4 linked regions of the Sus scrofa genome follow. The protein of the gene in region 1 interacts with the protein of each later gene in a biochemical or structural test. Links are inferred from orthologs where the notes say so. Each region holds a gene or a part of one and is shown on either strand. Other genes may lie near its edges.

Region 1 (5,748 bases):
CCGCATTTAGGGCAGTCAGTGGCCCAGCAGGAGAAGGGGTCTGTGTGTGTCCTCAAACAGGAGAGTGCTGGGCAGGGAAGCAGCCTGGCCTGGGTGCCTGTGTGCGCACGATCCCAAAGCCTTGAAGTGACACATGGCTAACCCGCAGGCCAGAGCCGGCCCGCAAGGGACTGTTTCGCATTTTGTAACATCTGAATTTTAAAACTGGAAAACTTCACACTGAAAGGGAAGAAAAGGGGTTTCCAGCGTCTCAAAGAAAAGAGAGAGAAAGGGAAACGGACCCAGTCAGCCCCACTGCCCTTGAGCTGCAATGTGTGTTCTTCAGAGGCCCCCCTGTTGCCCCCCTCCAGAAAAGGAGACGCGAGCCAAACCTCAGCCGCCACTTATCTATGCACTTGTGCCATTACACCCGTTCTATCCGGCCCGTTTCATTCATGCGTGCTCCCTCCCAACTCTGAGTGTCATCGGGATTTGCGAAATGTGCTGCAAAGGCCCCTCGGGCCGAACCAGGGAAGGAGACACGGGGCAGCTCTGCTGCGACGCCCAGCTCCCACAGACTTAACCGCAAGTGCTAGCTGCTGGTCTTCTTTATCAAACAACTTTAATGGCCGAATACAGCAAATTTTCTCTCCTGGCTCTAAGTCAGAATCTCAGTAATTACTCCGACTCGCACAATTTTTCTCCCACTTAATAACTTTTGAAGATTTTATCAGGGAATGTTGATCATTCACAAATTACTGTTTTAATTAAAAGGTCAAAAATAGATCCATTAAGGAGTTCCCGTCATGGCTCAGTGGCTAATGAACCCGACTAGTATCCATGAAGACACGAGTTCGACCCCTGGCCTTGCTCAGTGAGTTAAAGATACGGTGTTGCCATGAGCTGTGGTGTAGGTCACAGATGCAGCTGGGATCCCATGTTACTGGGGCTGTGGTGTAGGCTGGCAGCTACAGCTCCGATTCAACCCCTAGTCTGGGAACCTCCATGTGCCATGGGTGTGGCCCTAAAAAGACAAACAAACAAACAAAAAACATTTTTAAAAAATAAAAAATATATCCATTAAGCAGTTTTGAACAGTTTGACCAAGGGTTTAAGGTAGCCAAGGGAACTACATGTCAAAAGGGAAAAAAAAAAAAAAAAAAAGGAAGGGCCTCCAAACAGGAGAAAAAAGATGACCACAGAATTACGTTGTTTTTTTTTTTTTTTTTTTTGGCCATGCCTGCAGCATGCAGAAGTTCCAGGACTGGGGATCAAACCTATGCCACAGCAGCAACTCGATCCCTCGATCCATAGCAATGACTACCCCAGAACCTCAACCCACTGAGACACCAGAGAACTCCATGCAGTTACTTTTAAAATATATTTTTTGAGATATGCTTTGCAACCATGAAAGCTCTGAACTATCTATTTAGTATGAAACATATCCATAAGACAGACTCTATACATTCTCTTCCAGTGACCAACTCTTTTACTCCTTAGACTGCTTTTGTATCAATCAAATTTTCCTAACCTTTTAAAGAGAAGCCAGGTAATACCTGAAGCACCAGTTACTAGTGACTGACCACCTAGAATGACCATGAGGATAAGCGCATATATGTTCAACATCACCTACTAAAAACAACAATCTTATATAAACATCTTCATAAGCCCAGAGCAACCACATTACATGATAACACCAAATACCTCTCTTATACCAAAATGTTCAAAGAAACAAAGAGTCTTAAAGAAGGAGAAAACGAAACACAAAGAGACAAATTCTAAGCACGTACAGATGAGAGAGTCCCATCCTTCTGCTCTGGAGACCAGGAAAATAGTTCTCCAAATTAAGGTCAGATTTAACAAAATTGTTTCCTTTACTGTAAGCTGCTTGTGAGTTGCTATCCACATCCCAGCACCACGAAGACCCCCTAAAACCTAAACCCCCGTTTCACCCCGTCATACTCCAACTGCACTATTAGAGAAATTCCGTCTCCAAGTAACAGTAACAAGACACCACACAAAAGGAGGACAGTCTGGATTCCAGAAAGCTGTTTAGAAGGCTATGATGGAGTTCACCGTAACTTTGAAATAACTACGCATGAACTTGTTACCACCTGAACATTTGCCAGTAACCTTGTTTCCTAGCATACGATACTGGACTTCTGCACTTGCCCTAGCTTGGACCGAAAAAGTAAATTAGCCACAAAAGTAGACTAACCACGTGGGTACAAATATTATGTCCCAAGCTGTTTTTCCTCTAAGTGTTAACAGTGCCAAGTATATCAAGGGGCATGTGACAATGCTGGGTTTTCTAACATACTTAACTTGGACTGTCTGAATTAGAACTTAGTTTGTACCGAATTAACTCTCCAGGGAATAACTGCGAACCGAAACAGCCTTTTCCACTTACAGCCAAGACCCAGAGTCTGAAATGGTTTGTGCTTTTTGGTTGACTTGAAACACACAGCTGGGAAAAAATACCGCCGCTTTCCCAAGGACACTCCTCTGGCTCTAAACTAACTTCCCTGAAAAAAACTACCAAGGTCCAAGGGGCGCAGGCGCGATCCACTTACCCGATCCTTCATTCTCCAGCTCTGAGCTAAGGACTTGGAGCCTTCAATTTTCTCACAGTGCCTCTTTTTCATAAAAGCCAAAGGCAGGTTCCAGTCTGTAAGGTCGGCCTCATCGTCCTCCCCGAGTCCCAGGAGGGGCGACTGCAGCATCTCGGACTCCATCACTGGGGGAGGGGGTGGGGGAGTCCTGGGCAGCAAGCGCTCGAGAACCTCCAGCCTTGAAAACCAGTGTGTACCAGAATTGGCGAACGAATACACAGAAGAGGGAGGAGTAGAAAATGAAACGGATAGTGAGTGTGCGGAGACCCTCACTCAGGCAAAAAGTCTGCGATCCTTCTCTAACTCTGCGCGGGAAGTCGGAGGCGTGGGAAGAGCGGTGGGAAATGAGGGAACCCAAGGAGCTCCGCACAGACACAGGCGGCCCAGATCCCAAGCCACCGGCTGCTTCCGCGGCTGTCGGTTCCCGGGGGGCTGCGAGCGGAGCTGTCAAAGGCGTGCGAGACTCCAGGCCTCACGATGACCCTGCCCTCGGCCTCCAACGCCTCAGCCGATCCGAGGACAGGCAGGCCGCCCGCTCTTGGTGCCGGGTCGCCGACCGGGCTGAGGTCTCCGGCCGAGGGGAAGAGGTTCAGAGAGCTTCGGGTCTCCTGCAGCCACTCTCAGCCTTGCGGGTCCCGCACTCGCCGGAGCTGCTGCAACCAGAGCCAGGACCGGCCCATCGTGCTCGCCCGCAGCCGGCTCCTCAGCCCCGAGTCCGCGCGGCCTGGCTGGTCCTGGCCTCCGGCCCCGTGGCCCTCTCCTCCCTGAGAACGAGTCCTTAGAAACGGGCGACACGGAGCCGTGGAGAAAAATGCGTAATGTGGGCTTATTGGGTCTCGGGACTTTTGCCCTCTGGTTTGAAGCTACAGTGAAACTCCGCTCATCAGCACATCAAGGAGGACGCCATATTGCCGAGGCCCAGCATGCAGCGCGACTACGGCGTGCCTAACAGGCCAAATGTCCTCAGAGCGTTCCGGCCCGTGCGTCCCAGGAAACTGCGAGAGGGTTCCCCCCCCGTTACTATGGTTACCACGATTCAGTTTGCCAGAGTTTATTGCCATTCGTTCAAGAGATGCGTCATATCGAAGTCAGTCCTATAAATGAAACTCTGTTAATTAATTTTGGAAAAAAAGCTTTTTATTATTACAAATGGACCTACATGCTTCTGAAATTAAAGGAATCGACCCCTTGTTTCTTCCAGATTGTGAAAAAGCTGCAAGGCTTTTGATAATATTACAAAAGAAGATCGTGTTTGGGGTGGGGAGTTGTAGTATCCGCCACAGTAGCGATCAGATTTTATTTTTTTCAGGGGACACTAAGTGAAAAAAAATGTATTTTCTGAGTGGTTTATTCCTTGATATAGTTTCATGTGCAAACAACTAAAAGCTACAGATTTTTCTTTTCTTTTTTGTCTTTTCCAGGGCCGAACCCGCGGCATATGCAGGTTCCCAGGCTAGGGGTCGAATCAGAGCTGTGGCCACTGGCCTACACCACAGCCACAGCAACGTGGGATCCGAGCTGTGTCTGCAACCTACACCACAGCTCACGGCAACACTGGATCCTTAACCCACTGAGCAAGGCCAGGGATCGAACCCGCAACCTCATGGTTCCTAGTCGGATTCGTTAACCACTGAGCCACGACAGGAACTCCAAAAGCTACAGATTTCTATGCATGGCAGCCCTCCTGTGTTACTTTATTGTTCTATTTGGTAAACACTGTCTATTCACCATGTGTGGAGAACTGTGTCCCAAGCAGCATGCAGGCTGCCTTCAGTAAACGTAGTATATAGGGAGACACATGTGCAACCGGTGCATAAAGCTGGTAAGGGCCTGAGAAACTCAACTCCCCTCTTCGTTTCACCCTGAGGTCAGACCACCTGAAGCTGCATCTCGGCTGCATCTCTCCATCTCCGTGACCTTGGTCAGTCCGTTAACGACTCAGTCTCAGCTTCCTCAGCTGTAAAACTGGGTTAAGAATACCCATCTTAGGAGTTCCCCTTGTGGCTCAGCGGGTTAAGAACCCAACCAGTATTCATGAGGATATGGGTCGGATCCCTGGCCTCGCTCAGTGGGTTAAGGATCCGGCATTGCCGTGAGCTGTGGTGTAGGTCACCGATGGGGCTCAGGTCCTGAGGTGCCGTTGCTGTGGCTTTGGCTGTGGCATAGGCCGGCAGCTGCAGCTCTTATTCGACTACCAGCCTGGGAACTCCTATATACCACAAGTGTGGCCCTCAAAAAACAAATAACAACAAAAACAAAAGAAACCCACCCTAAAGGATAAATTAACCTATGTAAGCATCTAGTATGCAGTGAGCACCCAATACAATGCCAGCAGTGATGGGTCTCTCGCTAGAGTGAAATCTAGCAGCCCCATGAGCTTTACTCATCTAAAACTTCAGGCTGGGCTCTAGAAGATACTCTTTTTTTTCAGTGTGGTTTCCTAGGGCTTTGACACCCTATGGCAGTCCATCTCAAAATACTGATGGCAGGAGTTCTCGGGTGGCCCAGCAGTTAAAGACTTGGTGTTGTCCCTGCTGGGGCTGAGGTTCAACCCCCGGCCCAGGAACTTCCTCATGCCACGGGCATGGCCAAAAAAAAAAAATCCTGATGGCATTTGTGTTCCTTTCAACATCCGAGTAAATAGTGCAATCCCAGATTATTCTCACCTAGCATACAGCAGACGTTTCACAGAAATGCTTGGCTTTTCTCGTTTAGCATTCTAAATATGCATTCAGTTATTACAGCGCAAAAAGCCCAATTCTCCCATTAAAACTCAGGGCAAACTGACCAAAACACAGATGGAGGTTAACATCTTCCTTTCCTTGCTCTGACCTGTGTTCATAAAATATCCCCCACAGTCACCAGCAGAGGCTTCAGAACGGCAGGGTGTCGCCTCAAGGCAGCAGTATAACTGCGGCTGCTGATGGTCACCTGCCACAGGCAACGGTGAAGGCCAGGGTCACTGGGCACTCTCACCGGCAGCCACAGCCACAGAAAAGCAGCAGCATCAAGCCCATTCTTTCCTAAGTAGCCCTGTGGAAAGGCACTTCATCTGTGTGAGACTCCGATTCCCCACCTAGAAAGTGAGTCACCCTGAGAAATCCACTTCCTTCGTCTAAGCGAAGGTGAAAGGAGCCCATCAACCCCGAACTTGACA
Region 2 (5,110 bases), about 34 Mb from region 1:
TTACATCAAAAGGGGATCATCTACAGAGACCTGAAGCCGGAGAATATCATGCTTAATCACCAAGGTGGAGATATACTGTAAACAATTCTATAGTAAATATAATCATCTTAAAATCCTTCCATACAGGTCATGGTCATTTTCAAAGCCCCATTTTCATGTGTTTGTTATTATACATTCCTCCCTCAGAATTTATAATATCATGATACTTGTACTTATGGTTGATGATATGAAAGAGAGTTGAGGATAACTAGCCACTTAAAAAACTTTTCTAGTTTAACCCTTACTCTTTAGAGCTTGTCATCTTTTGAAATGGTGAACCAAAGCCAGTCCAAATGCTAATTTTGGCTGGTTCCTTCAACTGGAAAGTGAATCTTTTTTTTTTTTTTGCCTTTTCTAGGGCTGCCCCCGGGGCACACGGAGGTTCCCAGGCTAGGGGTCTAATCAGAGCTGTTGCTGCTAGCCTACATCAGAGCCACAGCAACTCGGGATCCCAGCCACGTCTGCAACCTACACCATAGCTTATGGCAACTCCGGATCCTTAATCCACTGAGCAGGGCCAGGGATGGAACTGCAACCTCATGGTTCCTAATGGGATTCGTTAACCACTGAGCCACGATGGGAACTCTGGAAAGTGAATCTTAATGTTATAAATTGAGTTTTCTTTGTTGATGAAGATACATAAATATTAGAAACAATACTTTTATGATAAATTGTATTAATTCTCTAAAAAAGAAAAGGATTAGAATATAACCAAAATATTTGATATAGCCTTGGAAATAAAATATTTTTTAGTAGGCTTCAGTTTATTCTTGCTATTTGTTGGTAACAACAAACGTACAAATCAGATAGACTAATATTCTGTACAGCTGTAGTGAGCAGAGTGAACCTTGATTATAACTGCATGCTGCTACAGACAGTTGAACTTTGTGAGAATAATATGGACTAGGCAGGCTTGGCAGTTCAGGCAGTTCACTCACATTCCAGAGGAGTAGACAGCCAACCTGTCTGGGGGCTGGGGGCTGGTGGCTGGTGGCAGCTGTTGATCCCTACCAGATGACATACAAGGTAGCTAATGGTTTAAAATTCTTAGACAGAAAATGGTTTATGGACAGCTGTTGCCGGAATAAATGTTTCGAATTGTGGCTTCTTTCCTTTTTTTTTTTTTTTTTTTCTATTTTTTAAAGGGGAAACTCTATATTTAACCAAGTATGTCATGGGTATCTATATATCTCCTTCTTTCCCATTTCTGCCCACATTGCCCCAAACCTAGATTCTGATTCTGAATTCTAAGGCAAGGGATAGAATAGGCAAGTAACTAGTTAATTTCTTTGATCCATAACCTGAGTGTGTTCAGGTGGTTTTGTGAAAATAAAGGTCATATTTCTTTTTCTCTGTCAGAGTGATGTACTATTTATATTGTCTTTTCTTTTCTTGAAATAAACCTGGAATAGTAGAATCCCTGGAGTTGCTGAACTACTGGATAGCTAATGATAATTCAATAAAGCTAAACCTGAATTGAAATTTTTTTTGTATAAGGTGATAAGTTTCTCACTTTCTGGATCCGAGATGATGGTTCTATGCTATGCAGCATTTTCTTTTTTTTTTCCCTAACCGCAGAATAAGCCGACTTGTTACAGTGACTGCCTGAGACTGTCAGGTCATGGTTCATGGTGATAAAAGCTATATAGCTGAAGTACAGTGTTACATTTTTGTTTAAAACTGTAGAATATCTTTTTTAGGATCTATGTACTTAATCCAGACTTCGTCACGTTTTCTTAGGACTTGTGAAGATAAAGGATTCTTGATGTAGGTGAAGCTAGAGCCTTAGACAAGCTGTTTCACCTTTTCTCATCTTTATTTTCCCTTTACTAGATAATTTTGCCCTACCCTTAAAGTTAGTATCCTTTTTATGGGTGGAAATTTTGTAGTTCTTGATATCTCACAAATTTTAGGCAGAAAAAGTAGAATGGAAGGATATATTATTGTCTTATATGATGCATTCAAACATTGCACAGACTTAGAATTCTCAGAATAACCATCTTTAATCTTTCATTGTAGGTCATGTGAAATTAACAGATTTTGGACTATGCAAAGAATCTATTCATGATGGAACAGTCACACACACATTTTGTGGAACAATAGAATACATGTGAGCTGCATGTTGAAAGAAATATTACTGGTTTGGGGGTAATAGCTAACTTTTACCTAGTTTCAGTAATAGTAGCAACATTTGGATCTATATAGTTTTTAAAATTTTAATTCAGATGATATGCAAATAGTGGATTTTTAAGGCACATTATTTTTCTCATTGTAGGGCCCCTGAAATCTTGATGAGAAGTGGCCACAATCGTGCCGTGGATTGGTGGAGTTTGGGAGCATTAATGTATGACATGCTGACTGGAGCAGTAGGTGCACAGTTAAAAGCTGCATGTGTTAATGGTCTTTGCCGAGCAGTTATTAAGTCACTATAGCAAGAGAACTTTCCTCTGCTTTTTGAAAATGTTACCAATGAAGTTACTTCTAAAAATCTATGGGCCTTTCTACTTTTATAAATATTTTCATTTAAATGATTTATGTCATGGACTGTGGTCCTGTGAAATGGATGTAAAACATACTGCCCTTATTTTATTTTACTTTTTTTTTTTTTTTTTTTGGCTGCACCACAGCCTGTGGAAGTTCCTGGGCCAGGGATCAAATATGAGCTGCAGCTGCGACCTGTACCACAGCTGCAGCACCACCAGATCCTTAACCCACTGCACTGGGCTGGGGATCAAACACATGCCTGTGCAACAACCTGAGCTGCTGCAGTTGAATCCTTAGCCCACTGTACCACAGCAGGAACTCCCTGCCCTTATTTTATAAATGGAGAAAGGAAAGCATAAAATCACATGGCTCACCCATTATCACACCAAATGAATGATGGAAACCCAGTTCCTTTCAGGACATTGCTATTTCCTCTCTGCCATTGCTTAAAACCCACAGATCTTTAGCAGTCATCCCTTATCACAGCGTATACTTCTGGTTTTGATGCATAGCTAATTCAGGAAATGGATAATTCTGTTATTTAAAATTTGATTTTTTTTTTCTATGCTAATTTTTCTCACTCTCTTCTACTCTTAGCCCCCGTTCACTGGGGAGAATAGAAAGAAAACAATTGACAAAATCCTCAAATGTAAGCTCAATTTGCCTCCCTACCTCACACAAGAAGCCAGAGATCTGCTTAAAAAGGTAGGGTTCTAAAATAGGCACTCAAACCATAAGCCTACTAGGATTTAAATAGATAGAACTGAATATTTGTTTGTTTTTGTTTGTTTGTTTTTAAGGACCACACCTGCAGCATATGGAGCTTCCCAGGCTAGGGGTCTAATCAGAGCTGTAGCTGTTGGCCTACACCACAGCCACAGCAATGCAGGATCTGAGCCTGCGTTTCGACCTACACCATAGCTCATGGCAACACCAGATCCTTAACTCACTGAGCGAGCCCAGGGATCGAACCCATGTCATCATGGATGCTAGTCAGATTTGTTTCTGCTGAGCCACAATGGGAACACCCTGAATATATATTTTGGATACAGAATCATACACAGATGTTGACAAAGCCTGTAGTTTTTGCAGGCACAGTACAAATTTGTTTGATAAAGATTTTTTTCTTTTTATTCCTAAACAATATTTAGTAGTAATTAATAAATTATATATTCTCAAAGCAAAATACACTATAAAGAAAAAATAATCAATTTGACTGAGTAAAGTTCATCAGTGTTTTTTTTCTCCCTTCCCTAAAGCTGCTGAAAAGAAATGCTGCTTCTCGTCTTGGAGCTGGTCCTGGGGACGCTGGAGAAGTTCAAGTAGGGGTTGGCACGCTTGGTGGTTTGAGGGGAAGATCATGCTAATTTTATGTATTTGTGAAGGTTATATGTAGTTGCTTCTAAGGATAGCTTATTTTGTGATTGGTAACTTCAAACAGGCTGTTAATTTGTCAGTCCAGTGAAGTCTGTTCCTCAACCTTTCTTCCTGCTGTTTTGTTTTGTTTTTCCCTAGGTTCATCCATTCTTTAGACATATTAACTGGGAAGAACTGCTTGCTCGGAAGGTGGAGCCCCCTTTTAAACCTCTGTTGGTATGTCTACGTGAAAGCATATAATTTGAGGAAGCTGGTGCTTTTTCAAAAAAGGAAAATCTCAGCGCAATTAGAAACGTATTTATTAAGTTCAAAAAATTTTTGGCCTGTCCTCTCTTCTCTTCAGAATCTTTATTCTGTGTTGTCTTTTCAAGAACTGCCAGCAGCAATTACTGGCTATATTAACTTTTTTTTCTTTTTTTTTTTGTCTTTTGTCTTTTTAGGGCCACACCCGCAGCATATGGAGTTTCCCACGCTAGGGGTCTAATCGGAGCTACAGCTGCTGGCCTACCCCACAGCCACAGCCACGCAAGATCCAAGCCATATCTGTGACCTACACCACAGCTCACAGCAGTGCTGGATCCTTAACCCACTGAGCAAGGCCAAGGATCGAACCCACAACCTCATGGTTCCTAGTCAGATTCATTAACCACTGAGCCACAATGGGAACTCCAACTTTTTTTTTTTTTAATGGCTGTACCCATGGCATGTGGAATTTCCTGGGCCAGGGATCAAACCCATACTACAGAAGTGACCTAAACCACTTTTAGCAGTGACAGCACTGGATCCTTAACCCACTGAGCCAGCAGGGAACTCTGATACTATTTTTAAGTTGGTTGCCTAAGATGGTTAAATATTTCAAGGAGCTGGGACTTTTGTGTTTTTATGCTTTGTTTTGTTTAACCCAGCCCTGTTTTGCTTTTCTCTAACAAAGTATCAAACGAGGTGGCTTAAACAAAGACATTTATTATGTCATGGTTTTGCAGGCTAGAAGTCTGCAACCAAGGTGTTGGCAAGGGTAGTTCTTTCTGATGACAACGAGAGATCCTGTTTCATGCCTTGGTGGTTTGCTGGCAGTCTTTGGCATTCTTTGGCTCGTAGGCATCTCAGCCCATCTCTGCCTTTTTTGTAAGGACACCAGTCATATTGGATTAGGATCCCCACCCTCTAATCCACATTTTCCCTTTTTTGTAGGGACACCAGTCATATTGGA
Region 3 (5,747 bases), on another chromosome or scaffold:
CTCTCTCTCCCCTCGGCCTGGACATGAGCAAGCACGGCTGCCTGTCTCCCCACGGTTCTTCCACGCAGAGGAGGTGCTGCGGGTCTGCTGACCGTCAAGGCCATGTGCACCCAGAGGGTCTCATGTCTAAGGATCTGGGTTCAGTCACCCACTAACTGGCAACAGGGGTTTTCCTCCCTAGCTTTTGGTCTCCCCTCCGATAAATGGGGCTGATGACGGCCTGACATAACCAGCACAGCGACTGCTCAAGAAAGGTGAAGACTTGTCACCAGTGCGTACAGAAAGGAGCCCTCTCCATGTCAGTCTTCAGAGCAGAGAGGTCCTGTCATTCTGCCTGCAGCCCAGGCACCTAGCACCACCTCAGGGCCGCTGTCACCCTGAGCTGGGCTTGACTCCTAGCAGAATGGGAGAGGCCATGACAGAAGCGAGACCTGCGCCCTCTCAGAGGCCAGCCCGGGGCCCAGTACTCAGGACTCACATGTTCAGTTAAATAACTGTTTCCACCAGTGACAAAGAAGGGCAGCAGCGGGGAGTTCCCATTGAGGCTCAGTGGAAATCAATCTGACTAGTATTCATGAGGACACAGGTTCAATCCCTGACCTTGCTCAGTGGGTTAAGGATCCAGAGTTGCTGTGAGCTGTGGTGGAGGTTGCAGATGTGGCTCGGATCTGGCGCTGCTGTGGCTGGAAGCTGTAGCTCTGATTCAACCCCTAGCCTGGGTCCAATAGCCGCATATGCCACAGGTGTAGCCCTGAAAAGACAAAAAAAAAAAAAAAAAAGGACAGCAGCTGATGATGGGCCCTGCCAGTCTGTAAATGAGGACACTGAGAGGTGTCACAGGGAGGGGAACCATGGGATGGGATGGACACAAGACCTCCTGCCTCGAAGTCCATAGCTTTTCGCCAAAGGGAAGCTGTGTTCCAATCCCAGCTCTGCCCCATCCAGGCTGAGCCTCAGGGAAGTCCTGTGGACGCTGTGCCTCGGTTTCCCCTCTGCTGCGAGTAGCTTTAGTGATGGGAGGTGAGGACCCACCCAGGATGATACGGGAGCAACTGAGGACAAGGGAGACGGCACAGAGGACAAAGGAGACGGCACAGAGTCCGGGAGGAGACGGGTGGGGGTGGAAGGTTATCTGAGCCCTCTGTGCTCCAGCTTCCCCCGCCTGGAGCCGGTACCAAAATACTGGTGCCTTGCCCAGAGCAGATGTTCTATAAATGGAACTATTCCTGGAAGGGAGAGGCTGTTTCTCTGCACGGGCCCGGGATGCATTACAAGGCTGTGGGTGGTTAACACTGCAGGGCTCCGGCCCAAGAACCAGCCTTATGAGGTGGAGGGGAGGATGGGTCCTGTGACACGTGGCATCCTCATCCCAAGGGCTTCCTGGAGGAGGTGGCTTCCCAAGCCCCTCCTTCCCGCCTCCCATTTGCCCCTCACCGGCCCATTCTCCTCATCAGATGACCGCGCTTCTGTCCTCTTCTCCTTGAAGGCCCACACGGGCACGGAGACAGGCAGGGACTTGGCATACTGCTGTGTGGGCAGGGCTGAGGCGGGGGGCACTGAGTAGGCTGCGGGGCCAGCAGGGGTCTCCTCGCTCAGGCTGCCATCTGTAGAGAGGGTGGACTTCAGCCTCTGTTCCTGCCTTCGTCCTCCCCTCCTCTGGGGATGGGGATAGCCTGCGACACTCACCGTCTGTGCTCTCAGGGTCCGACTCACAGAAGGGGGGCAGGTCCTGGAGCGTGGCGTCCTCGTCCATCACAAAGAGTCCTGTGGATGGCGTTAGGGGCTGGGGCCAGTTGGGTCCTGCCAGACTCCAGACACTGCCACCACCTCCCAGTGCCCTGCGCTGGTCAGGCCCTTGCAAGGCTCGAAGCTTCTGGAATTATCACTCCCTCCCCCTGGTTATGTGCCTGGCCGGCAGCAGAAATAAATCCAGGAGTTCCCATCATGGCACAGTGGTTAGGGAATCCGACTAGGAACCATGAGGTTGTGGGTTCGATCCCTGGCCTTGCTCAGTGGGTTAAGGATCTGGCGTGGCTGTGAGCTGTGGTGTAGGTCGCAGATGCGGCTCGGATCCCACATTGCTGTGGCTCTGGCGTAGGCTGGCAGCTACAGCTCTGATTAGACCCCTAGCCTGGGAACCTCCATATGCCGTGGGAGCTGCCCAAGAAATGGCAAAAAGACAAAAAAAAAAAAAAAAAAAAATCCAGTTTCCATCATGTCCCCAGGTGAAAGCAACTGGTTCGATGAACATGAAATCTATAAGATCTGTTTGGGATGCACGGACTCAAAATACAGCTGAGAGAATGACGAGATAATTATGAGCCCTGTTTGACAAACGGGGACCTGGAGGCAGAGAGATTAATTTACTTGCCGAAAGTCCACATCTAATAAGTAAGGTCACCAGGATTTGAACCCTGGCCAGGCAGTTCCAGAGTCTGAGCCCTGAACCCTATGTGGATTTCTCTAGCAACAGTGAGGAAGCCAGCCACTGACAGTAACAAATGAGTAACCACTACTTATTGAGCTGCCCACTGAAAACTCCTAATCAGTCTTCAAAGCCCTAATGTTATATATAGTCCAGTCTCTGGGAAGCAACCAACTGCCACATTTCCCCCCAAAGAGCCAGTTGCTTCCTCCCCCGGCCTCCTCGGCTGCTGCGGCAGCCCTGACTCCTCTAGCTCCTGGGCATTAGACACCCCAGTTCTGTTCTATTCATGCTCCTGATTCAGGAGACTCCCTCCCCACCCCACGGCCTCCGTGGGGCACCGTCTCATGTCAGGACCCCAATTCTTTGGCCAACCTGGAGGCCCTAGAGAAGTCTCCCAGGTGGCCTTCTCTGTGCCCAGCTTGATCTAAGGAAACCGAGACTCAGAAAGGGGCAATGACTCGCTCGGGGTCAGAGTGACTCACAGGTAAGCCTGCAGCCTCCCTGAACACCAGGGCTCAGAGGCAAGTCGACCCCTTCGGGAAAACCCACCTGGGAGGCAACTTGCCAAGAGCTACCCCAGCCCCTGCCCCTCTCACCTCCGTTATCGCTGACGCCCAGCGGCTCCCCCGAGGTCTCTGTCTCTGTTGGCTCGTCCTCGTCCTCCTCATCCTCCTCCCGGGCCAGGGCAGTCCGGGGTGGGCTCCGTGCGGGGCTGGGCGCCTGCGGTGCTGGTGGGGGCGCGGGAGGCCGGGCGGCGGCGGCTGCCCGGTGGGCCAGGGCGATGTCGTGGAGGCAGCGGCGGGCGGCCTCGGCCAGGGCCCCTCGACCGTGGGCCGCGTAGGCGCAGGGCCCCGGGCGGGGCGGCGGGGGCGGCGCCGCCGTCAGCAGCACCAGCTCCGTGCCGGTCCGGGCCCGGAAGCGCTCGGCAGCCCCCACCACGGCCTCCCACAGCTCCTCGGGGCGCCCTGACGCCATCCGCGCCCTGCGGGCCAGAGCAGGACAGCGGGGGCTGAGGCCGAGGCCGCGGTCCCCGGCGTCCCCGGTCCCCGACTCCAGCCACCCCCGGCTAGCGGCCTTATCCCCGCGGAGCTCAGCATCTGCCCCCCACCCGCCACCCCCCACGATCCCCGCCCATCCAGATCGCCAGGCCCTGTCCTCCTCTCGGCCCAGCCCCATCCTACACGGAAGCCATCAGTCACGTGTGACTAGGGAGCCCTGGAGAGGTAACTGATCCACAGCTAGCCGGGGCTACCAGAGTGAAATCCACACAGGGTTTCCAAGATGCAGTGCAGGAGTTCCCCCGTAGTTCAGTGGTAAGGAACCCAACTAGTATCCAGGAGATTATGGGTTTGATCCCTGGCCTCACACTGTGGGTTAAGGATCCAGCGTTGCTGAGAGCTGCGGTGTAGGTCGCAGATGTGGCTGGGATCCTGCGTGGCTGTGGCTGTGGCTGTGGCTGTGGTGTAGGCTGGCAACCAGTGTCCAATTCAACCCCTGGCCTGGGAACATCCATATGCTGCGGGTGTGGCCCTGAAAAAATAAAATAAAATAAAAAACAAAGACTTAGTACAGAAAGGTAGGATGGAAAATACCTCATGAGCCATCTGCAGTTGACTAAATGTTGAAAGGATGACATTTATTTATGCTGGCTAAATAAAATATATGGTCAAATGAATTTCATCTCTTTCCTTTTTACTTATTTAATGGGGCTTAGACAAAATCTGAAATTATACACATGGTTGGATCATGTCTGCGGGACGGTGCCACCCTGGACCACTGTCCTAGCCTCCAGCCCAGCCGGCACACAGCCCCGAAGGAGCCCTTCTACCTGACAAGGTCACAGCCCCTCAGGCCGGCACTGGGGGGCCTGCTCCCGGCCTCACACACTGCTAGACTCCTGAGGCCTTCCGCCAAGGTGGACCCCGCTTCCTGGACCACTTGTCCTTCTCGAACTTGTCACTCCTTCGCTCACCCCCAGATCAGGTCAGCCCGCCCCATCTATGGGTTCCCACAAAGTCCAAGGGACCTTTGTTCTAGCACATGTCCCTCCGGGGAATACCCCCTGGATCCACATGCATCTCCCAGGCCAGAGCGCAGGCCTGTCGGATTATCTCTGAGACACTAGCCTGGCCACAGAGAGCCGGGCTTGAGCAGAAAATGGTGTGCCAGCTGCTCTCTGTGCCCGGACTCCACCCGCAGAGCTCTCGTTCCCGTTTCGGCAGGGCCTCTGGAAGTCTTCCGTGATTCCCCAGGACAGACGGGATGCCTTCCCTAGACCCACAGTGCCCTAGGCTACCTGCACCATAGCTCAGGGGCGCACAAGCCTGTGACAGCTGTACCTCCTTCTGCCTCCTCCATCAGACTACGGGCAACCTGAGGTCAGAGATCTGCGTCCTCAGGACAGGTCTGCTCTCAACAGACCACCTGCTGGAAGTATCCCCTTACCAGGTGAGAAGAAGGGACAAGGGGCCTGGCTTCCTGCCCAGACTGCTGTGTAACCTTGGACCCCTGAATGGCCTGCTCTGGGCCTCACTGTCTTCTCCCTGTAAATCAGCGGTTGAGCTAGGGCTGCTGGGCAGCTGTGGAGCCTCCACAGAGGGAGTGGGCTCCCCATCATTGGAGGGATCCAAGCAGGGTTGTGATCCAGCCCGCTGGGGTGGTAGTGGTTTCATTGCAGCTTGCAGGCCCTTTGTGACCCATGAGCACAGAAACCAGTGTTTGCTGAGCATCTCCTCTGTGCGAGGACCCTGCGCCCGCTGGCTCACCTCCGAGCTGACCCACTAAGGTGGGAGGTGTTAACCTCACAAACAGGACAACCGAAGTTCACAAAGCCCTTGCCAGAAGTGACACACAGGGAGAGCGCGACCAGCACCAGCCCTGACAGCCCTGGAGCAAGTTCTACTGCACCTTCCACAGGCCCGGCAGGGACCCAAGGGGGTCATCCCCGCCTCCCCCATCCCATGACCCTATGAGGGAGGAGCTCTGCTCACCCCACTTTACAGATGCAAACTGAGGCCCAGGGAGATTCAATATCTTGACAGGGCATTTGGCAAGAGAGAAGGAGAGCTGGGACCTGGATCTGTCAGTTGGGACCAGAGCCTGTTCTTGTTTTTTTTTTTTTTTTTTTTTTTTAAGGCTGCACCCGCAGCATATGGAGGTTCTCAGGCTAGGGGTTGAATTGGAGCTATAGCTGCCGGCCTACACCACAGCCACAGCAACTCGGGATCAGAGACTCGTCTGCGACCTACACCACAGCTCATAGCAACGCAGGATCCTTAACCCACTGAGCGAGGCCAGGGATCGAACCTGCAACCTCATG
Region 4 (5,630 bases), on another chromosome or scaffold:
CTACTTACCAGAGCCCCAGTGACTGATTCTGTCTATGAGGGCTCTCCATCTGCTGCTTTCGGCTACCACTCTATTACTTCACCTCTAGGAGGTTACAATAGCCTAACTGATTTCCCACTTTGCTTTTTCCTGTCACTTCTACCAGTGTTGCTCTATCTTCCCTCAAAATTTCAAAACTGACCATGTGTCTGCCTCTTTTCAAAAACACTGATGCTTCTCCATTGCACAAATATACGCTCAAGCTTGGTTTCGGCTTTAGAGTCCTCTACAATTTGCCAACTAAGTACTTTTCCAGAATTAGAGTCTACAGCTCAAACTGTCACTTGCACCGATTATCTTTCTATCAAAATCACACCCACTCCTAAAGGCCCAATTCAAGCTCCACTCTTCATCTTTATATTCTCCACATGATGATTAGGAAAGGACTCTGCACAGAAAAAGCAAATTCCTAATGAACTGATTCAGGGAGTGAAAAAAAATTTTTTTCTCCCAAAACACTTAAATCCTCTGGAAGCATTAAATTTTTGAAAACATCCCTATTCAAATATTACTATTTCAATCAAGAAATCCTCCATAAACCCAACAATGTAAACCAACATTTATTAAATGCTAATAATGTGTGACATGGATTTAATTCTTATATTAAATATCATTAATCTGAAGATAAAAAGCTATAATCTGTACCCAGGATTCTAATTCCAATAATATTTACACTTGGATCCTACTTAAGAAAGGAACGTCACATTAAGAGGGCTTGGTATTTTACCCGACAGAGATTTAGAAGGTCAAATAAGTCTACAGAAGCTACAGAAAGTTAGCAGATCTAAATGAGCTTCAGACTAGTAAACATTCTTATCAAATTAAAAAGAAAAAAAAACCTCTAAACTGGATTGTCATAAAACTAGTTTTTTGGTTTTTGTTTTTTTTTTTGTCTTTTTGCCATTTCTTGGGCTGCTTCCGCAGCATATGGAGGTTCCCAGGCTAGGGGTCCAATCAGAGCTGTAGCCCCTGGCCTATGCCAGAGCCACAGCAATGCAGATTCCGAGCCACGTCTGCAACCTGCACTACAGCTCACAGCAATGCCGGATCCTTAACCCACTGAGCAAGGCCAGGGATCGAACCCACAACTTCATGGTTCCTAGTCAGATTTGTTAACCACTGAGCCACGATGGGAACTCCAAAACTAGTTCTTTTCAGAGTCTATCTTAGGTTCTAATTTATCTTCTTTGGAAGGGCTGAAGGACATGACAGGCAATTCTGAACACTTCATAGAGACCTTTACTGGCACACTTACCAGCAGATACAACAGCAATCAGATGTAGGACACAAGTGATGCTGTGGGGCATTACTTTCTCTCCATTGCATTCTAGGACTGCATTTCTTTTAGGCCTCAACTAATTTAATTTCGCTTTTGGCTCCTTAGCCTCTGAATTCACGTTAATTCTCAGCTGTATACTTTGAAGCATTTTGATCTTGAAAAGAATGAAAATATTCAAGATTCAATGAAAGTCTTTTTCTTTTTTTTTAAAGTTTATGTAGTCTTTGAACCTAGCTAATGTAACTGGTAAATCATGCCCTCTATGGCCTTTCTGAAATCAAGATCATTTAAAGTTGAATATATTTCTGAAATAGATTTGCTTATGAGTAAGACAGACTAGAATTCTAAAATTATTAATAACATTATTTAAGAAAAATAGGATGTAATGAAAAGAGCTGCAGCAACTGAAGTTAAATTCTCAGTCTACAATCTCAAGTCTGACTCTTTAGTTGAATGACCTTAGGAATTGGCTTTACCAGAAATACTTTCTCATCTGAAAGATCTCACAGCCCTTCCCTCCCACCAGCTGACTATTCAAATAAAATGAGATAATATATCTAGCACAGTACCTGCCACGCAGCATTCAGTATTAGTTTTTTTCCTTCGTTCAACACAAAAGACACTCACAAGATTTAGGTATAAGGGAGTCCACACCTGCACAAGTCTTCATCAGCACAAGACAGCTAGTTAGTACTAATTTAAAAAAAAAAAAAAAACGAAAAAAAAACACCGTCACCTCCACTCCACAAACGTTTCTGAGGGATCTGCATCAAGACGAGGGAACCAGCATGTGACACTGCAAGAACTCCACCAGGACTGCATACATATTGACCACTAAAGCATTGACAGTAAAAGTCCACAATAATTGTGCTAAAACGTCTGGATGCCTTTATGCTGGTAATAGAGTTCAAGCGAGATAAAGGAAAAAGAAGCCAATTTAGGCCCAACTCCAAATGACTCCTTAATAAATCAAGAGAGGGATGCTGGTTTATCTTTCCTAAAACGCGGACAGTACGATATTAAAACCCATTTAAAAACTTCATCAAGAATGAAATATGCCAAAACAAACATTGACGCCACTAATGCTTTTTCAAAAGCCTGCGCAGGAGAGCACCGCTGGCACCACCGAAGGTATCTGATGAAAGCCGTGCGTGGAAAACGCAGGCGAGGGAAGGAAAATAACAGACGGTCATTTCGGGGCGGGGCACACACGCCGCGGCCGCCGCCGCCAGCATCTGAAGGAATTCGCGGCTTCCCACCCCGGCGCGAAGAGCAGGCCGCGCGGCGCACACCCAGGCCGGGGAGGGGGGCGGGGGGGGCGGAGGGGGCCTAGGTTCCCGGGCCGGGGTCCTGGATCCAGTGTCCACCCCCCGCCCCCTCCCCGCGCCGAGCAACGCCCCAGCCCGACCAGCCCCGCCCCGACCGAGGCCCCGCTGCGGTTGGCGGCGCAGCGGGCCTGGGTCGGAGGTCGGAGGTCCGGGTTGGGGTAGGGGCTGGGTCCGCGTCCGGGGTCGGGGTCAGGGTCGGGGTCCGGAGAGCAAGCGGGGCAGCAGCGGTGAGCCCGGCTGGGGGGGAGGGGAGGGCGGCGGGCGCGGCCAGGCCGCGGGGCATGGACACTCACCACACCATGCCGTAGGCGCCCTCGCCGATGTAGGAGAGGTTGGTGTAGCGCGGCCCCACGTCGAACACCTGCCCGCGGACCATCTCGGGGCCCGCGCCCGCCGCCGCCGCCGCCATGTTGGCTGCCGGGCCGCCGCCGCCGCCGCCGCACTGGGCTCGATGCTCCGCGGCCGCTGCTCGGCCCACGCTGCACCAACGGGGAGACCGCGCCCCAGCCGCTGCAGCCGCCGCCGCTGGCCGGGAAGAATCAGTGAGGGACCCGCTCGGGAGAGGTAGATAGCCACCGACCGCTCGTACCGACTGCCCGCCTGACTGACTGACGGGCGGGCCGGCGGGCGGAGGGAGGGGCGCGCGCCGAGGAGGGCGCCGGGGCAGGGCCGTAGGCGTGAGCGCGGATTGGCTCCCGCGGCCTGGGGGCAGGGCTGCGCGGCCGGCGGAAGAGGCGCGTTGGGGGCGGAGCACTGCAGCGGCGGGGCGGGGCGCGGTCACGTGCGCTCGCGGGAGGCGGCGGGGAAACGCTGAGGACTCCGAGGCGGGGCGAGCTTGCGGGGCCGAACGGGCGGGGCAGCGGGCCGAGAGAAGCTCCGGGCGGCTCCCTCCGAGTAGGAGCGCGACCGGGGCGGATTCCCCCCGCCCCCGCGCGCCGAGCCAGGTTTGTGAGAGTCCGGGGCCCATACAGATTAGAGGCCTCGAGACCCGCACAGAAGCCGGAAGGGTGACCGAGACCGAGAGAGATATTTGCATCCTGAGAAAGTGTGAAACCCAGAGTGGGAGGCGGAGACAAGAAGCCCGGACGCGGCCCGCTCCGGCAGAGGCTCGTTCAACAAGTGTCACCGCGTTCCTGCGCGTCCACCCTCCTCGAAGCTACCCTCCAGGAGATGATGGATGGACGGTCGATGGATCTGAAGGAAGACTCAAGTTGTCTGCGAAGTACTGCGAAGAAAAGGAGAGCAGAGTAAGGGGTTCGGGAGTAGTGGGTTGAGACCCTGAGAAAAACACTGAGATTCAGAGACTGGCACCCAAGTTGGTACAGATGGGCAGGATCTTACCCAGGTAGAAACGCGAAAAAAACAAGTATTAACATCTAGAGAAAACGAGTTAGACGCACTGAGGTTCAGAGATTGTCACAAAAATGGAAAAGAATGTATATATGTATAACTGAATCACTTTGCTGTATAGCAGAAATGAACACAACATAAATCAACTGTAACTTTAATAGTCACAAACACCAGAGGTTGAAAATAAAAGGCAGAATCTTGAAGCAGGTGAATTCGATAAACAGCTAAGACAATGAGACAGAAGATGATCCAGCCCTTGCTTCTGAGCCACTTCATTGGAGTCACCTGCGTCGTCTTGGAAAGGGGACTAAGGGTGGGAAATTCTGCGTCCTGATTGTCTGACACTGTGATCCAGAAAGCCTGGACTTCCAGTCATCAACAAAGATCAACTAGACAGTCTTGAAGATGAATAAGCAAAAGAGAAAAAAATCCTCTGGGGAAAAAAAAAAACATGTGGCATATGAGAAAATAAATAAAGGGCTACAGCCAAAAAGTACTCTTTTGAAATATGTTTAGTCCATAAAGTAGAACCCAACACCTGATTCTTATTCCTTTTTTTTTTTTTTTTTTTTTTTTGTCTTTTTGCCTTTTCTAGGGCCACTTCCCACGGCATGTGGAGGTTCCCAGGCTAGGGGTCTAATCAGAGCTGTAGCCACCGGCCTATGCCAAAGCCACAGCAATGCAGGATCCTTAACCCACTGAGCAAGGCCAGGGATCAAACCCTCAACCTCAGGGTTCCTAGTCAGATTTGTTAACCACTGAGCCATGACAGGAACTCCCTGATTCTTGATTAAAAGAAGAACTTGCATCTTTTAAAGGACAGGCCAAGATAAATAGAGGGTACCATGAAATTAAAACCACAATAGCCAAAGTAAAAGCAATGGTTGGAGCTGTAATAAGCAGACTTAACAGTGTAGAAGAGCAAGTCAGCAGGATAGGAGACGACTATGAGAAAAAGCTGGTGATGAAATTCTTTAAGAAGAAAATGTACAAGAGAACAAACACCACAAAGTCAAACTACAGGCACCCCCTCCCCAAAGAAGACAGAGCAAATCACTTAGAGGCAATAACTTACAGTAAAAGAAAACCTGCCTTAATGTCTAAAAAGATCTGTGGTGTTGGAGTTCCCTGGTAGCCTAGCAGTTAAGGACCTGGCATTGTCACTGCTGCAGCTCAGGTCACTGCTGCAGCAAAGGTTTAATCTCTGGCCTGGGAGCTTTTGTATGCTGCGGGTGCAACCAAAAGGATCTAGGATGGACATGGAAAATTGAGTTCTCTGAATCCAGAAAAAATAAATAAGCAGAAAACTTCAAGACATGATCTGGAAAAGTTCGGAAACGTCAGCAATAAAGAACAAGCACAATGTATAATCAGGACAAAGAGATTGTTTATTTAAAAAGCTAAAAACTGGGAGTTCCTGTGGCTCAGTGGGTTATCAACCCGACTAGTATCCATGAGGATGTGGGTTTGATCCCTGGCCTTGCTCAGTGGGTTAATGATCTGGCATTGCCGTGAGTTGTGCTATAGGTCGCCTACATGGCTTGGATCTGGCATTGCTGTGGCTGTGACATAGGCCCGCAGCTGCAGCTCCAATTTGAAACCTAGCCTGGGAACTTCCATATGCTGAAGATGAG

Evidence for each region.
Region 2: of the proteins of RPTOR (region 1) and RPS6KB1, one has a biochemical effect on the other in vitro, tested with the Homo sapiens proteins (6 studies listed by BioGRID and IntAct, with this or other methods). The link is inferred for Sus scrofa from reciprocal best matches to the Homo sapiens genes RPTOR and RPS6KB1.
Region 3: the proteins of RPTOR (region 1) and AKT1S1 interact in a biophysical measurement, tested with the Homo sapiens proteins (2 studies listed by BioGRID and IntAct, with this or other methods). The link is inferred for Sus scrofa from reciprocal best matches to the Homo sapiens genes RPTOR and AKT1S1.
Region 4: of the proteins of RPTOR (region 1) and MAPK1, one has a biochemical effect on the other in vitro, tested with the Homo sapiens proteins (2 studies listed by BioGRID, with this or other methods). The link is inferred for Sus scrofa from reciprocal best matches to the Homo sapiens genes RPTOR and MAPK1.

Annotation. Positions count from the first base shown.
Region 1 is NC_010454.4:1,988,054-1,993,801, forward strand, and holds the start of RPTOR (regulatory-associated protein of mTOR), read right to left. Parts: upstream 3,792-5,748; 5' UTR 2,715-3,791; coding exon 2,553-2,714; intron 1-2,552. UniProt on the Homo sapiens protein: Component of the mechanistic target of rapamycin complex 1 (mTORC1), an evolutionarily conserved central nutrient sensor that stimulates anabolic reactions and macromolecule biosynthesis to promote cellular biomass generation and growth.
Region 2 is NC_010454.4:36,141,835-36,146,944, forward strand, and holds part of RPS6KB1 (ribosomal protein S6 kinase beta-1), read left to right. Parts: coding exon 1-64; intron 65-2,058; coding exon 2,059-2,149; intron 2,150-2,314; coding exon 2,315-2,405; intron 2,406-3,120; coding exon 3,121-3,228; intron 3,229-3,782; coding exon 3,783-3,845; intron 3,846-4,038; coding exon 4,039-4,116; intron 4,117-5,110. UniProt on the Homo sapiens protein: Serine/threonine-protein kinase that acts downstream of mTOR signaling in response to growth factors and nutrients to promote cell proliferation, cell growth and cell cycle progression.
Region 3 is NC_010448.4:54,882,814-54,888,560, forward strand, and holds the start of AKT1S1 (proline-rich AKT1 substrate 1), read right to left. Parts: upstream 3,818-5,747; 5' UTR 3,605-3,817; coding exon 3,025-3,604; intron 1,765-3,024; coding exon 1,687-1,764; intron 1,605-1,686; coding exon 1,321-1,604; 3' UTR 1-1,320. UniProt on the Homo sapiens protein: Negative regulator of the mechanistic target of rapamycin complex 1 (mTORC1), an evolutionarily conserved central nutrient sensor that stimulates anabolic reactions and macromolecule biosynthesis to promote cellular biomass generation and growth.
Region 4 is NC_010456.5:50,081,155-50,086,784, reverse strand, and holds the start of MAPK1 (mitogen-activated protein kinase 1), read right to left. Parts: upstream 3,707-5,630; 5' UTR 3,683-3,706; coding exon 2,940-3,682; intron 1-2,939. UniProt on the Homo sapiens protein: Serine/threonine kinase which acts as an essential component of the MAP kinase signal transduction pathway. MAPK1/ERK2 and MAPK3/ERK1 are the 2 MAPKs which play an important role in the MAPK/ERK cascade.